Arabidopsis thaliana: one gene and its partner. The protein of the gene in region 1 interacts with the protein of each later gene in a pairwise test. Each region holds a gene or a part of one and is shown in the gene's direction. Other genes may lie near its edges.

Region 1 (8,911 bases):
TCTTGGTTGAGTCGATGAACATAGAAGTTGACTTCAATCTGACGGCTAGGATCGTGACCATAACAAGCGAAAGAACACAAATGGAGACTCATCTGTTTGATCGGTTTCAACGATTGCATCATCGCCGCTCCTTTATCCATCACCACCGTCTTCATCGTCTTTGGATCTCCCGGAGGTAAGTTCTCTGATCCGTCACGTGCCGGATACGCTCCTGGACGCTCATCGCTCGACGCCATTTTGATTTTCAACACACAAAAACGATCAACCACGTACTATTATACAAATTTTATGTATCTTTTCTTTCTTTTGTGTGTTATTATAAATATGGGATGTGATTGTGTTTGGTGTCATTGCTGCATGAGCAAAATGTGACGTGGATGATTTGAGAAGGACACGTCATTGCGTTGTTTGTGGTTATGTGGCGAGAAATATTGAGATTGAGCTTTGTGGATGACACGTGGATATGTTAATGATGGTGATTACCTTTGGCCACTTGGCACTTATAATTGAGATTCTTGAATTTGGTTGGACTCTGTATAATCTTCATAGAAAAAAAAAAGATCGTTATAGTCTTTTTCAAAAAAAATCTATATACGGGCCGGGTTTTATGATTTATCTAAGTTTCGATTTTTTTCATGTCAAGTCAAGTTTTATTTCATTATTAAAATATTAATTGAACTATCAAAATCTATTTTTTTTTCCTTCTCCACATCAAAATGTGTTAAGTTATGACATCCAAGCAACATAATTAAAGCGGTTCGCTTTGATATAAATTAAATTTTTGTGAACTTTATTTATTGTTTTTTAGATAAAGTTTTATAGATGTTATGTAGGACTTTGTTTTGTTTTGTTTCAAGTCGTTTCACTCCAATACAATAGTTTTGAATATGAATTATGAACACTTTGACAATATTTTGTCACATTAAATTTACAACTACAAATAGAATTTATGTAATTAAAAATTAGAAACTATTAAGAACTCATATCATATATTAGATCATTTTGTCTGTTCTTTGAACACCTTTTATGATTCACAATTTATATAATAAGATAAATATATATATATATATAATATTTGTCTATTCTGTGTTATATATAGAATTTTGTTTCTTAATTTAGGAAATGAATCTCGAGATTAATATAGAATTCCCAACGGTAATAATACAACGTAAACTCCGTGTAGGTCCAAACTTTAAAAAAAAAAAAAAACTGCTTCCGAATCAAGCTTTGCTTCGGATTCCGAACCTAAAATAAACACATGACCGTTACACCGATCCTAATTTAAATACAACATCATCACTCTCCTCTCTCTCCCAAAAATCTCGCAAACTCTAATCTCTCTCTTTCTTCTTCAATGGCGACGAAACTCATACTCAAGAAAACGACAAAATCCATCAGCCGTCACCAACGTAACTACCTCCGCCGTCACCGGAAATCTCAGATCGGATGCTCACCGTCTCCGGCCACAACCACCGTAATCGCCACCATCAACAAATCGATCTACAGATGTCATCGAACTTTTCTCTGTTTGTTTTCTCGTCACGCAACAAAAGGATTCAAAATCCTCAAACCTCGCGAAGATTTTCAGAATTCTCCGTATTCATTGTTTCACGAAAGATCTGGTAAATCATTCGACGAGACGAAGAAGACGATCGTGTTAGATCTAGACGAAACTCTTGTTCATTCATCAATGGAGAAACCAGAAGTACCGTATGATTTCGTCGTGAATCCCAAAATCGACGGTCAGATCTTAACGTTTTTCGTGATCAAACGGCCAGGAGTCGACGAGTTTTTGAAGAAGATCGGAGAAAAGTACCAGATCGTTGTTTTCACGGCGGGATTGAGAGAGTACGCGTCGTTAGTGCTCGATAAATTGGATCCAGAGCGGCGCGTGATATCGCGTAGCTTTTACAGAGACGCGTGTAGCGAAATTGATGGGAGGTTAGTGAAGGATTTAGGGTTTGTGATGAGAGATTTGAGGCGCGTGGTGATTGTTGATGATAATCCGAACTCGTACGCGCTTCAACCGGAGAATGCGTTTCCGATTAAACCGTTTTCTGATGATTTGGAAGATGTTGAGTTGAAGAAACTTGGTGAGTTTTTGTATGGTGATTGTGTCAAGTTTGAAGATATGAGAGTTGCTTTGAAGGAGTTTGTTGGAAGAGATGAATGATTTTTGGTTAATTTCGGTTTAGTTGATTTTACTTGTATTAAGAGGATTTGATTAAGTAGACAATGATGAACAATAGCTTTGTTTGTTCGATCTGTCTTTGTGTAAAACATCCTCGTGATAAGCAATTTGTTAATTTGTTTGATTAGTGTTTTTCTTTGTGATTGAATCAATGGGTTTTTAATGAAGATTTTGAATTTGAACAGTGGACTGAGTTTGACAAGATCGAGAACTTTTTGTGTGGGTAGAGTTAAATTATGGGCCTTTATTGGGCTTTTTGTTCAATGGTGTGTTTACATATCAAAACTTTTAAGTTGTTTTTGTTTACTAATAAGCCATATTATGAAACAGTAGTTTTGAATAATTACAAAGAAAACAAAAAAAGATCAATCAATATATTTTAAATATTTTTTTGGATCACTTTAGAAGCGGAATGTCAAAGCTTTATCATTGCAATACAAAAGTTATGGATAAGAGGTTACATGAAATTGACTTTTGAAGGAGACTGCAAAAATCTAGTCAATAGCTTGAATGGAGGCAGCTCAAGATTTGATTTGGTTAACTGGACCTATGAAAGAAGAGCATGGGAGAGAATATTTGAGCAATTGACAATTGGACACTAGGAGCAACAAATCAAACCTGCAGACATTTTAGCGAAGAAACAACAAACAGAAGTTTCAGACTTCATATCTCATTTTCATATTCCTTCTTGTATATCCAATGAGTTGCACTCAGATTACATTGATCCAAGTTAATGAAAGTTGATTTTTTTTTTTAAACTACAGTAAATTCTCTAGAAATTCCATTAATATATAATTACTAAATTATGGAGAGATTTTACTAATTTTTTTAATTTCTTACAAAATTATATCTGAAAGCAGGTTTCAATATAATCAATATTTTTCTAAAACCAATTATAAAAAGAAAATTAATTATGAAGTTTAGAAAACAATACAAACTTTTTGATATAGTAAAAATTTTAAAAATGAATTGTACCAAAAAATAATCCAAATATAAGAAAAATGAACAACATTAGAGTCATAATTTCATTAAAATATTTTATATATAATTATAGTAATCTATATATGACATATATATATAAATAAATTACTATCATATATATATATATTGATAAGTTTATACAATTATTAATTTATGATAAATGATAAGGCTATATTTTAACATAACATTTTCAAAAATTTATTATCTTATTGTTTTATCGATTTGTGTCAATTCTACATTGGTTCCAACTTGCATCGGAAGAATTTTTTAATTTATATAGATTATTAATTTATCGAGTATTAATTTATAGAAATTTTACTATACCATGATTTGAGGACAACAATGTTTATTTTTAATATCCATTTAAAGTTTTAATTATTATAATACTTGGCTTTTGGGACATATTCTTAGAGATCTTTAAGATATGTATATTGTAAAATCTTAACATATGTTGAAAGCTCAATTATATAATATTACTATATGTCAAATTATTTTGAGACTACATAATGCATATCTAATAATTGTGTTTACAATAATCCTATATAAATAGAGGTTGATGAGCAAGCGACTAAGTTGCAATCACATTTCGTTTGGATCATCTATCACCAACTTTCAAACTTTCAATTTTTTTTATAGTTTCCTAGTTTTTGGAAAAATGGTTTTACTTTTTGTAAGAAACTTGTACAACAAAACATAAATATAACTACACATATTAGACGAAGTTATTGCGTATATTAAAAATTTATAAAAGACTTGATTGGATTTTATTGTTTGCAGAAAGAGGAGCTTCAATTTAAGGTTGGATCTATTGACGAAGGGACTAGATATGACGCATTACGATGTATCGCTAATTGTGAAGGTACACCAACTCAACCAAATATGTAGTTGTATTGAGCTAAAATAAACCATTCGTTAGAGATATAGGGATTTTATGTAGATCATTTTATTAGGCTTAATATTTTAGTCATTTACTTATTTGGTAAATAACAAGAATATACATTCATTCATTGTTGATTGAAAAAACTTGGACATGATAAATTGGTATGTGACTTCCAATATTTTATAATGTATATTTTGTAGATGGATGGATAGAATAATAACCAACACATTAAAATGGCAATATATAACACATTTTCACTAAAAATGTTTTGCCATAAACTGCAAGTTCTCTAAATTAAACAATGTTTACAAATGTTTTTATTTTGTTTTGTTTTGTTAGGAGTTGCTTTTGTTGATTTTGATGAGGAAGAGGCCACAATAATTGTGAAGAGAGAAAAACTCGATGAATGTAAAATTAAGAAAAAATTAGATAAATTTTTGAATGAATCTAAAGGAGGATGTTTCTCTTGTTTTAGTCGCTAATAATTTTTGGAGAAGAAGTGAAGTGAACTGGTAATGGAAATCAACTTTCAAAATAAAATGAAGTTAAAAGAAATTACAAATAGATTCTCATTTGTATTTCTCCCTATTATAATCTACAACATCATATTTTTCTTAATTTGATCAATCTTCATAAGTCAAAATGATCAACAACATTACAAATTTATTATGTTTTTTTTGGGTCAAATTATATGAAATTATATTTGGTAAATTAAAAAGAAAAGAAAAAGAGAGTTGATTGATAATAATAAACCACCAAACCCGTCTTTTAGACACAACAGTTGTTGTTGCCATTCATACGCGCTTCCATCAACCCTTTGGTCTTGGAAGCCAAATCAAACCTTTCCTTCAATCCTCAAATTTTCGAAAATTTTCTCTTTTGCTTTACGTTCTCTCAATTCTTATTTGTAAGAAAGTTTGTTCCTTTAATCAATCAAATCAAAGAGACTTTTGAAGATTGTTTCCCAATTTGCGTCAATCGGGATCGAGTCAAATCTGAAATCTTCTCCACTCATCATCTGGTACGTTTGATGATTCCAAATCAGAAACATTAAAGGACAAGAAATGTTCGAATTTTTGATTGATTCTCTCTGATTTTCAATCATTTGGTTGTAGAAGCAAAAGGGTTTGGTTCATTCATTCTCTCGTGTTGCCCTTATTTCGGATTCGGATAGATTTGGAGCTAAATTAGGGGTTTTGACTTTTTTAGTTTCTCCCATTCAATAAATTTCGAAGCTTGTGAGGGAAAAGTCTTGGTTTTTATTGTCATTTATTACTTTGCTTCTTAAAGCTTGAGAGATCGATTCGTATATTGATTCAAACACTTGACAGTTGTGTCTTAAACTGGAATTGTTGCAATTAAATGTTTATGTTTTCAATGAGTCTCTCTAGTTGAGTTTGATTTCAGCTTCTTGTTCTATCCAACAGACTATAAGACTTAATCAAGGGACTTTTTGTTCGGGTTTGGTTTTAAACGTCTTGGATTCGAAGTGGTTAAGGTATGGATGAAAATAATGGAGGTTCAAGCTCACTTCCACCTTTCCTTACTAAAACATATGAAATGGTTGATGATTCTTCTTCTGACTCGGTCGTTGCTTGGAGCGAAAACAACAAAAGCTTCATCGTCAAGAATCCAGCAGAGTTTTCAAGAGACCTTCTTCCGAGATTCTTCAAGCATAAGAATTTCTCAAGTTTCATCCGTCAGCTTAATACATATGTAAAGCTTTTGTCTTTGTATCTCATCTCTTTGGGGATTGGTGTTTGCTGCATCGCTAAGATTAACAACCTTTTTGTGTTTTTGTTTGCGTAGGGTTTTCGAAAAGTAGATCCTGAGAAATGGGAATTCTTGAATGATGATTTTGTTAGAGGTCGACCTTACCTTATGAAGAACATTCATAGACGAAAACCGGTTCATAGCCACTCGTTAGTGAATCTACAAGCGCAAAATCCTTTGACGGAATCAGAAAGACGGAGCATGGAGGATCAGATAGAAAGACTGAAAAATGAGAAAGAAGGCCTTCTTGCGGAGTTACAGAACCAAGAGCAAGAACGGAAAGAGTTTGAGCTGCAAGTAACGACATTGAAAGATCGGTTACAACATATGGAACAACATCAGAAATCAATAGTGGCATATGTTTCACAGGTTTTGGGAAAACCAGGACTTTCACTAAACCTCGAAAACCATGAGAGAAGAAAAAGAAGATTTCAAGAGAACTCTCTTCCTCCAAGCAGTTCACACATAGAACAGGTCGAAAAGTTAGAATCTTCGCTAACGTTTTGGGAGAATCTTGTATCGGAATCATGCGAGAAGAGCGGTTTGCAGTCATCAAGCATGGATCATGATGCAGCTGAGTCAAGTCTAAGTATTGGCGATACACGACCCAAATCATCGAAGATTGATATGAACTCAGAGCCGCCCGTTACCGTTACTGCGCCTGCTCCAAAAACAGGCGTTAACGATGACTTTTGGGAACAATGTTTGACAGAGAACCCTGGATCAACCGAGCAACAAGAAGTTCAGTCAGAGAGAAGAGATGTCGGTAATGATAATAATGGTAATAAGATTGGAAATCAAAGGACGTATTGGTGGAATTCAGGGAATGTAAATAACATTACAGAGAAAGCTTCTTGACATGAATGAGGTTTTTGTAAAATAGTTTTCTTTTGGTTCCACTGAGATTATTGTATGTGTTCATTATTTATTACTCTGTTTCTGTAAAAACAAATCTCTCTATTGTTTGAGGCAGGAGTGACATAAATGCATATGCAGAATTGGTTTCTTTGCCTTCATATTTCAGTTATATAATTTACAGAGTCAGTTTTGTTTGTAGCAAACATATGAACAAAGAGAGAGTTACAGAGTTTAGGAAAAGAAACAACAAAATTCTAAAAAGAATTAAAAAAGCTCCGATGCCGGGAATCGAACCCGGGTCTCCTGGGTGAAAGCCAGATATCCTAACCGCTGGACGACATCGGATTTGATGTTCATAGAACTCTTATTAACTATATACTCAATGATGGACCAAACAAACCAACGAAGGAGATCAATGAAACAATTGGTTTTGAGTTATCTGACAACTATTTCATCAAAAATAATACAAAATGCAAGAAATTTTGTCATGCCCTAATAAAAAATAAAAACTCATAATTATTTAGCTAAATAAAGATTTCTTGATCAAAGATTCAAGAAAATTTCTATAGCTACAAAGATTACATTATGATCTAAGAAAAGAAGTAAAGCAAAATAAGAAGAAGAAACAAAACTATCTAGGAGGAGATCTCGTTGATAGACATTTCCCACAAGAGACAAGCTTCAACAACGAATGTAATCGTAACTTCCTTGTTCTCACCTTCAATCTCGATAGCTACAATTTCAAAGTTTCAATTTTTCAATCACAAAGACAACAAACAGAGTCATATATATAAAGAATAGAGAGAAATTGAATGTGTTTACCTTGCGACGAGTGCTTCTTGATGCTTTCCAACATATCAAGCTTCTTGATCTTGGTTCAAGTTTCCTGCAAAAACCAACGAATTATCAAACAAAACTGTAAAAAAAAATTTTAGGAACAAGTTTTGGTTAATCTTGTTCTTACAAATTCTCTTGTTCAAGCTTATTTGCAATCTCCACAGCTTTGTGTTTCGACCAACTGTTTCCTTCAGCTTGTTTAATCACTTGAGCCAACGAAACTTTTCCTCTCACAATGCTCTGGTTCTGATTTTGGTTTTGGTTTTGACTTGCTTCCAAGTGTTTCCTTCTAACTCGAGTCATTGGAGATTCAGAGTCAGCCACTTCAACGATTTCGCTTCTTCCGCTTTCACGGAATCTCTCACCGTTGCTTAAACCTTGTAATGACGAGAAACCGAGGTCTTTCTTCGACTCGGTTCTCATCTCTAACGTGACTGGAGATCCAAGAACAGCCTCAAACGCTTTCAAAATGTGTTCTTCGAAATTCTCAGCCGTTGATTTCGCTATTGGCGAATTAAACATTAACTGCACCATAGGAGCTGCGAAAACTACGAAGTTAGAAAAGCTTTGTTTTCAATATGAACAATGTTCTACTACGTTTATGCATTTACCTGAGCCGATACTAATCGAAAAGATCTTCCCTTCTTTATAAAGAAACTCTCGTAAGCCGTTAACTCGAACATTCTCGATAACCGCTAACCAAATATCTTCAACGGAAGGTCGGTTTTTGCAGCTGAAACCTTGCTTACTATCATCTCTTCTTGTTCCGGCTACAACATGGTTCGAAGGATCCGAATCCGTCAATGGAGTATGGTTAAAGCTAGCATCAGCAGAAGAACTATGCGGAAGCAAGTACTGTTTATCAGGAGCTAGCTGTAGCAATGCAGCAGTGAGCCAAGTTAGTTTATCGTTCGATACTCTCAACTGTTTTTCTGATTCAGATAGTGTTTTCAAAGCTTGTTTCAGCTTCTCCATATCTTCTTTAGACACTGGAACAACGGAAAAGAAAAATCGGTTATTACAGTTACAAATACTTCTCATTTTGGATGATGGAAATGTTTGAAAAGCTCACGTGGTTGTCGCCGGAAAAACTTTCTTTTACATTGATCTTTAGTGAAGTCATAGCTTCCCGCGAGGATATCGGTTATGACGGTTGCGAGCTGTGACATCAAAGCTAATGGTTCTAGGCCGGTTTCCATTATTATTCTTAGGTTCTTTACGGTGTTTACAGTATCCGCGGATAAGGCTAGATCAAGAAGATCAACTAATTTCTCATCAGATATTAACCCAACCTGAAAAGAAAACAAGAACATAATGAGAACAATGCCAATGGAAAATATAGAAATGTTTTTGATCATTACCATTTCTTGAACTAAAGGAACAGAGATTCT
Region 2 (7,897 bases), on another chromosome or scaffold:
CTTCTTGTTTACAAGCTTATGGACAATGGTAATCTCCAAGACGCCTTGCTTCACCGGAGATGCCCTGAGCTTATGGATTGGAATCGGAGGTTTTTGGTTGCCGTTAACATTGCCGATGGGATTAAGCATCTTCATAGTCTTGAACCACCTGTGATTCATGGTGATATTAAGCCTAGCAATGTTCTATTAGATAGTCTCTTCTCTGCCAAAATCGCTGATTTTGGTTTGGCTAGGTTGAAAGCAGAGCAAGTGGAGATTAGTGTAGCTCCGGAGCGTGATGGTGATGGATCTATGGTTGAAGAAGTAGAGAGTGTGGTAACTACTGTGACTGGTTATGAAGATTTTAACTTTGGGTTGGTTGATCAGTCTCCGGAGAGTGTTGCTAAGGTTCCTGGGTCTGTGAGTGCTTCTCCTGAGGCGACGACGGTTGTCTCTGTTTCTCCGGAAATGGGAGAGAAAACGGATGAGGATGGTGGTAGTGTTGTGGTGATGAAGAAGGGGAAAGAGAGTGAGAGCAAAGATTGGTGGTGGAAGCAGGAGAGCAATGTTGAAAGAGGGAGAGTGAAAGAGTATGTAATGCAATGGATTGGTTCAGAGGTAAAGAAGGAGAGACCAAGCAGAAGTGATTGGATTGAGGCGGCAGCTTTGTCTTCTTCGTCAAGTAAGAAACTTGAGAAGAAGACTAGCAAGAGACTAGATTGGTGGTTGTCATTGGAGGAAGAGGATGAGAATAAGAAGAAGAAGAAGCGGAGGATGGTTAGAGAGTGGTGGAAAGATGAGTATCGTAGAGAACTCGCTAAGAAAAGGAAGAAGAAGAAGAAGATGACTTTAGAAGCCGAGTTTTGTAGTGATGATGGGAGTAGTAGTGTGAGTCAATGGCGGCGTGGTAGTGGTAGTGGTAGCAGCATAGATTGGTGGTTAGATGGGTTAAGTGGTGAACGATGGTTGAGAGCAAGGGGAAATAGCCATGACTCGGTGAGCGGTGAGATAGCTAAGAGCTGCGGAATTAGTAGCACGCCGAGCATGAGAGGGACTGTGTGCTATGCAGCTCCTGAGTACTGTAACTTGGACAACAACGTGTCAGAGAAATGTGATGTCTATAGCTACGGTGTTCTGTTGTTAGTTCTGATTTCCGGGAGGCGCCCGTTGGAGATGACGGGCTCCGCGAGTGAGATACAACGGGCAAACCTCATGTCTTGGGCGAGGAAGTTGGCGAGAAGAGGAAAACTTGTTGATCTTGTGGATCAAAAGTTGCAAAACTTAGACCAAGAACAAGCAGTGTTGTGCATAAAGGTGGCTTTGTTGTGTCTGCAAAGATTACCGATTTCACGACCGTCAATGAAAGAGGTCTTGGGAATGCTTAAAGGAGAAGTGAATCTACCAGAGTTGCCTAGTGAGTTCTCACCATCGCCACCATTAAAGACAACGAGGAAGCAGCGCCGTTGACTAATTTAGGAATCATTTTGATTATTATTATTCAAGTGTTACACCGCTAGTTTTAGGAACTTTGATTCAATTTCACTATACTTTCCAATTTCTCTTTCTATAGTTTCACACGCATTATTGACATTGATTTTTTTTTTACACGTTTATACTTCGATGTCAATATGTCATACAACACTTCTTCAAATCGGAGTTGCTCGGGATTGGATTATTAGCAGAAAGAAAAGGCTAAAACTTTTTCCACCTCCAAAAGTCATTTAAAGGTCACACAAATCCTATGGGCCTAATCAGTTAACAAACCACTTCCAATCGAGTTAAATGAAATGAAGATACCAAATTGGGTCACGTTAGGAGTCAGCAGTTTGTGTTCTTTATATATGGACATGGGCCATCTTCGATTTTTCTTATTCGTTTCTACTTAAAATCACCAAGATTTATTGAATTTTTCTTCTTATTATTATTTGGCCCTTATATAGAGTATGGTCTATCCATAATTTGGCCCAGTTTTTTAAAAATACTAGATATTTGGAACATGCATGCTTTTTATTTTTAAATGTATCAGATTCAGATGAAACTCAATTATTAAAAAAAAAATCATACATAAACAGTTTAAAATATTTACTACTACTTAATTATTTTCGGATTAAGAAATCCCTTATAACATTTCATAAAACATAGTATTCTGCATTTTTTCAAAAAGTTGTTGTAATGTTTAGAAAACAAATTGAAAATGCAACAGTTTTTAATGAATAAATGCAAGGCGTTATAGAATGTTGGTTTGTTTTTCATTTTAAGTGTTTTTCAATATTTTAAATAATAACAACAACAAAAATCATTTGCTTTCGACTAGAAACAATGACTTATATCATTGCTTATACGAGTGCATGTTACAATCGTATGTGGCGGTTAGTCATCCTACTTGGCTCGATCGATGGTGTATTTGCTGAGGAAAGGGCTTTGTGTTCTGATTAAATTTGAGTTTTGATGGTAGTATGGCTTGAGTAAAGGTTGAGGATGTTGTTTCATTTTCATATGTCTGGCTCTTTCACCTCTTTGGTGGGTATGTGTTGTATCAAACAATCGTCTCTTAATACAATACCAGTTGACAAAAAAAGAGCAGTAACTAATTCTTATAAACTATAGTACATTATTTCCTATATATTTTATAACATAAAATAAATCATATTTTCTCATAATTTAAAGTGCTATTCAATGATTTTTAGGAATACGATCCAGCATATGGCCTTGCAGTCTATAGTATATATAAAAATAATTATATGGTACCTATGTCAGAGATATCTAGGATATATAGTAGATCGTCGTACAATTGATATATCATATAGTATGTGTATACAATAAGAAAATAAACATATAAATTGTACGATCTCTAAAGAATACTTTAAAAATGATAAATATTAAGATATGGAATGTTGAAGGGAACCTATTAAAAAGAGAAGAAATTAATGATGAAGCAGAAAGACGTCATTGCTTACCCTAACAAACCTCTCTCTCCATCTTTTTCCGATACGTCTACCAATAACTTAGTATTTTTTTCTCTTAGTTTTTAATATTATAACCAAACCCTTTTACTATCTTTTTTCCGACTCCCATATCTTTTTTTTTTCCGACTCCCATATTATTCAACTTTACAACAAATCCCTGACTAGAGCAAATCCCAGAGCACAAGATCAGATCCTTCTGTCTCATCATCATCATCATTATTATAATCATAATTACAAGAAGAATCGTTGTTCAAAATAATTAACGTATAACGACTTCTAGATGAATAATTTTCAGGAGAAGAAAAGAAGGCGTAGTAAAACGCCGAGAGTTTGTAATAACGAAGAAAACATGGAGAAGTTAGTACATAAAGAAATTGAGAAACGAAGGAGACAAGAAATGGCTTCTCTCTACGCGTCTCTCCGCTCTCTTCTCCCTTTAGAGTTCATCCAGGTCAAAACCCTAATTACTCTTGCTTTTAATTTCTTCCTCTTCTTCTTCTTTTTTTTTTGTTAAGGAAAAAGTCCACAAGTATGCTTTGTCGCTTAGTTTGTTAAAAAGATTCACTAGAACTCTAACACTCTATCATCACAATATCTCAAGTTGACCTCTACACCTTAATTACGTTTGATTTGGTTTTGTAGGGAAAACGTTCAACGTCAGATCAGGTGAAAGGGGCAGTGAATTACATAGACTATTTGCAAAGGAATATCAAAGACATAAATTCCAAGAGAGATGACCTCGTGTTATTGTCTGGACGAAGCTTTAGGAGTAGTAATGAACAAGAATGGAATGAGATTTCGAATCATGTCGTGATTCGTCCGTGTTTGGTCGGCATAGAGATAGTGTTGAGCATTCTCCAAACGCCATTCTCAAGCGTTCTGCAAGTGCTTCGTGAACACGGTCTCTATGTTCTTGGCTACATCTGTTCCAGTGTAAATGATAGACTCATTCATACTCTACAGGCTGAGGTACAATATCTCGAGCTTACTAACTTTACAGCAATCGAAGCATTACTAACTTTACTAAGAATATAGAGAAATACTTAATCATAACATATATTTCTAACTAACTTTACTAAGAATATAGAGAAATACTTAATCATAACATATATTTCTAACTTTGTTAATGTTTTCGATCTTGTCGGCTTACAAACGCGTTTATGTCCTAATTTGGAATGGAATATAGAATATAGCATACATCTTCTTCATAGCTTTTTGGAATGGCTTATTGTATCAGAGTAATGAATATATATGTTTGAGTTAATATGTGAAGTTGATTTGCCTTATGTTGAGTTAATATGTGAAGTTGATTTGCCTTATGTTGCAGGTCAACGATCTGGCTTTGATCGACTTAGCAGACCTTAAGGATACACTTACCCTGATGAAGTAATTCAAATAATCAAACGTTTTTTTTCAGTAGATTCCTTTTAACTTCTCAAACCAAAACGATGTATATATATGGTTCTTAGTACTTTTACTGTGTATTTATCTAGCTACTTTAAAGAATTTGTGCGTAAGAAACTAATGCTAGCTAGCTTTAATATCACAACCATCTCTTACATATTATATAAACTATGGTCCATCTAAACTTTTTCTTTATCATTGATGTTTTGACTATCTTGTTTATTCACAGAAAAAAATCTTCATTTTGAAAATTTGATTAAATATCTTATGAAAACAAATTATCTTTCAAGAAAATATATTAGTTTACTCTATCTTTTGTTCATTAGGGACAATGACTATTATTTTGAGGATTACCGCATGAGGCCTTCTTATTTCTAGACGTCTCTGCTCCTATATATAAGTCATATAACATTCTTATCTGAAGATGTACGTAATCTGTCGAGTTAGGATATAATTAAGAGAATGGTGGAATTTAATTCGTACACATAGAATTAATGGTATAATTAATTTACTATTGTTGGTGTGAGTAGCATCAAATAGATGATAGAATAGTATTTTGAACAAAAATTCTGATAGATAGTATAAGCCTTCAAACTAAAATTGTTTCCGGACGAATACACGAAAAGAAAAATGAAATAATATTAACTTTCTAAAAACTCATCGATTGATGGGTATACACAAAATGGTTAAAAAGAAAAAAAAATGATTAACAGATTTTGAGATTATATAATACTGAAAATTTGAGTCGGAAATTGATTTGCAATATGCAAAAGACAAGAAACATGAGGCAAAGGAAAAACCATTTTTCAGAGAAATCTAAACATGTGAAATTCGTTTTTCTAAAAGTAACAATTTGCGAATTTATCAGCGACGGATATTTTTTAAAAATAATATGTAATGTTTCTGTTAGAAAGTACTTTTGGTTGACAAAAAGAACTGTTACAAACTTACTTTGTTGTGTACGCACTGTTACAAAATTATCAAATTTGAATCTTGAAAATGGTTAATTAGGGTTGTGTGATACGCACTCCAGATCTGTAATCACAAATTAGCTAATGACTATAAAGTCGATGCAAAAAGTAAAACATAGGGAATGTATATTATATGCCGCTTAGTTGAAAACCGCTACATATCTATGATCGATTTAAATATTTGAACTCTGGAACTGTTGACTTTTCTCTTAGACTTAAATTTTGGTAAACAATTTCAGCAACTAAAATGAGTGAGAAAACTTGGTTGTTGAAAAAAAAAGAGAGAGTGAGAAAACTTTGGTTTAGTTTTCTACAGTGACCAGCTTTGGGGTTTTGGGCGGAATTAATTAGCCAAGTAGGGTCTAGAAAATGTGATCTTTTAACACATGGCCAAAGTCGTTTATATTTGGTGATTCTGTTTAAAACTCACAATTTGTTTTTTTCTTTTCTTAAATTTTGAAATCATATCTATTTAGAACTAAAGTTCATCATAAATTTTGATGACCCTAATAAATAATATAGCGTCAATATAGAGAACTTAGCTGGAGATATATTGTAAATATGTTGTTGTAACGATCTATTACGAATAACTATTGAAATACAATACAATTATTTAAAAGAGCAATATATAATTGTATAATTTACCACATCATTAGGATACTTCGCCCCAAACACATATTTTAATTCGTTTGAACGAACTTAAATAAAAAAAATAAAAAAAATCATTGGTTAAAACTTTTTATTGCAGAAATAATTGGTTGTTACTGTAGAAATAGCGGCTTCTATTCGCAACCGTCAGATATACAAGTCTAAAGAGATGTCTTTAGTTTAGTCGTGACTCCTACAAGGCATGTGTGTACGATCGCCTGATAGGGAATAATTTAACTTTGCATAATCCATATTTTCCGACAATCATCGAGTTGACATGATTCGACATTTGGTCATACACGTAAATATAACAACGTGCTTCTAATTTTAATTTTATAAGATTAAAACTATCAGATAGTACTTTTTGGGATATAGGAAAAATGCATCTCATGTAATAAAACTATAGCAGAAACGTGTCTTAAAAATAATTTACATAATAAATAGTTAACTTGTTTTATCATGACTATAATATGCAAACATTATTGCGGTTGTACGCATGTAATAATATTACTGTATATAAACTGTTATATACCAGCTCTTATAACTTTAAAACTCTATCCATTTTCTTAACGTAATGTATAGTATAAGTGAATGAAATTTTTCTCTTTTTACAAATTTATCTGGTTTATAAAAGTTGCTAATATCAGGCATAATATGGCTTATGGCGTATATTGAGCATATCAGCATACAACACACATCCCTAAAGAAAAGACTTTGGTCAAACATCCAACGAGATTATCTTTTATAGTATAGTGGCTCTTAATATGCGTATATACATATATATAAAAAACAAGGGATTCGTGACAGAGAAGAAGGATTTGCTTTGCCTTGAAAGGATAACCTTTACCAAAAGGATTATTTTTTAATAATGGAAACTGTGGAGGGATGTCATGGTTTTTATATTCAAAGCATATTATATTGAAATAGTATCTTCTTAAGAACAGTATATCTTTAGCATTATATATCTGATACGCAATGGATATGGACGTTTAATAAACATGTGAAAAGACTAGTTGCAGTGTGAGCAGGTGCAAATAAAAAGAAAGGATCGGAGCCCACATGCGACCATCGCAACATCATCAACGGTTGAGATTTGAGGTTTTGTTTTCATGTATCCGAATCTTAAGACATGGTTGCACTTTCACGTCGACATTTGTCAAATAGTTATATTCTCCAGTTCCTCCTAGTTGTATGAGAATATAATTTTGTTTTAGAGAAAATGTGCATTATGGTTTTTTTTTTTTTCCAACAGTTTGCGTTTTAGATACTAATTCTGTATTTCATGGAAAGAGATGGATTCGCAATGGTATTTCACATAAAGGAAATTTTGTGTTGGATGATGGTATGACAAAAGCTGTTTGGAGGGTATAAATTATTAAGTTGACATTAATTTCAAAAATTTATAATTATGTGTTTTAATTCTCTTAATTAAATAAACTGTAGAGGATTTTATTTTGTTATGTATATATATTGACTATAAGTTGTATTCTACTAGTTTGTTACAAATCAAGCCCGAGGCTCATCCCATAAATGAAATAAAAAAAAACTGATAACTATTTCAATTTTATTTAAAAAAAAAAAAAGAGTAATTCCGTAACCTGCATTATTTGGTCCTCCTACTGTGTATCTATTTAATATTTAAATAATGGTCCTCCCTCTCACCTAAGGAGACATAGAGAACCATCTGGTTCTTTAAGGCACCATCATTCAACAAGTAAACAATAAAGGAAATTAAATTATCACAAGACAGAACCACAAAATCCTTTGGAGATCTGACACTGGTAAAGCTCAAAGTGTCAAACTATGGATCCTTATAAGAATCTTAATCCAAAAGGTTACCAGAGACAGAGACCGTTTAGCTCAGCCGGCGAGAGTGGCGGCAGCGGCGGCTCCGGTACGGCCCATGAAACAGATGACAATAAGAAGAAG

The links.
Region 2: the proteins of RHA1 (region 1) and AT4G25400 interact in a two-hybrid assay, tested with the Arabidopsis thaliana proteins (one large-scale study listed by BioGRID).

Annotation. Positions count from the first base shown.
Region 1 is NC_003076.8:18,536,024-18,544,934, forward strand, and holds RHA1 (winged-helix DNA-binding transcription factor family protein), read left to right. Parts: upstream 1-4,641; 5' UTR 4,642-5,073; exon of another isoform or gene 5,074-5,479; 5' UTR 5,480-5,552; coding exon 5,553-5,768; exon of another isoform or gene 5,769-5,861; coding exon 5,862-6,683; 3' UTR 6,684-6,840; downstream 6,841-8,911. Other genes in the region: AT5G45690 (histone acetyltransferase (DUF1264)), read right to left, coding at 1-236; AT5G45700 (Haloacid dehalogenase-like hydrolase (HAD) superfamily protein), read left to right, coding at 1,355-2,173; AT5G45720 (AAA-type ATPase family protein), read right to left, coding at 7,315-7,416, 7,506-7,569, 7,648-8,059, 8,132-8,509, 8,593-8,812, 8,882-8,911. UniProt on the Arabidopsis thaliana protein: Transcriptional activator that specifically binds DNA sequence 5'-AGAAnnTTCT-3' known as heat shock promoter elements (HSE). May be involved in general response to auxin.
Region 2 is NC_003075.7:12,978,001-12,985,897, forward strand, and holds AT4G25400 (basic helix-loop-helix (bHLH) DNA-binding superfamily protein), read left to right. Parts: upstream 1-3,036; 5' UTR 3,037-3,225; coding exon 3,226-3,396; intron 3,397-3,587; coding exon 3,588-3,980; 3' UTR 3,981-4,236; downstream 4,237-7,897. Other genes in the region: AT4G25390 (Protein kinase superfamily protein), read left to right, coding at 1-1,446; AT4G25410 (basic helix-loop-helix (bHLH) DNA-binding superfamily protein), read left to right, coding at 7,772-7,897.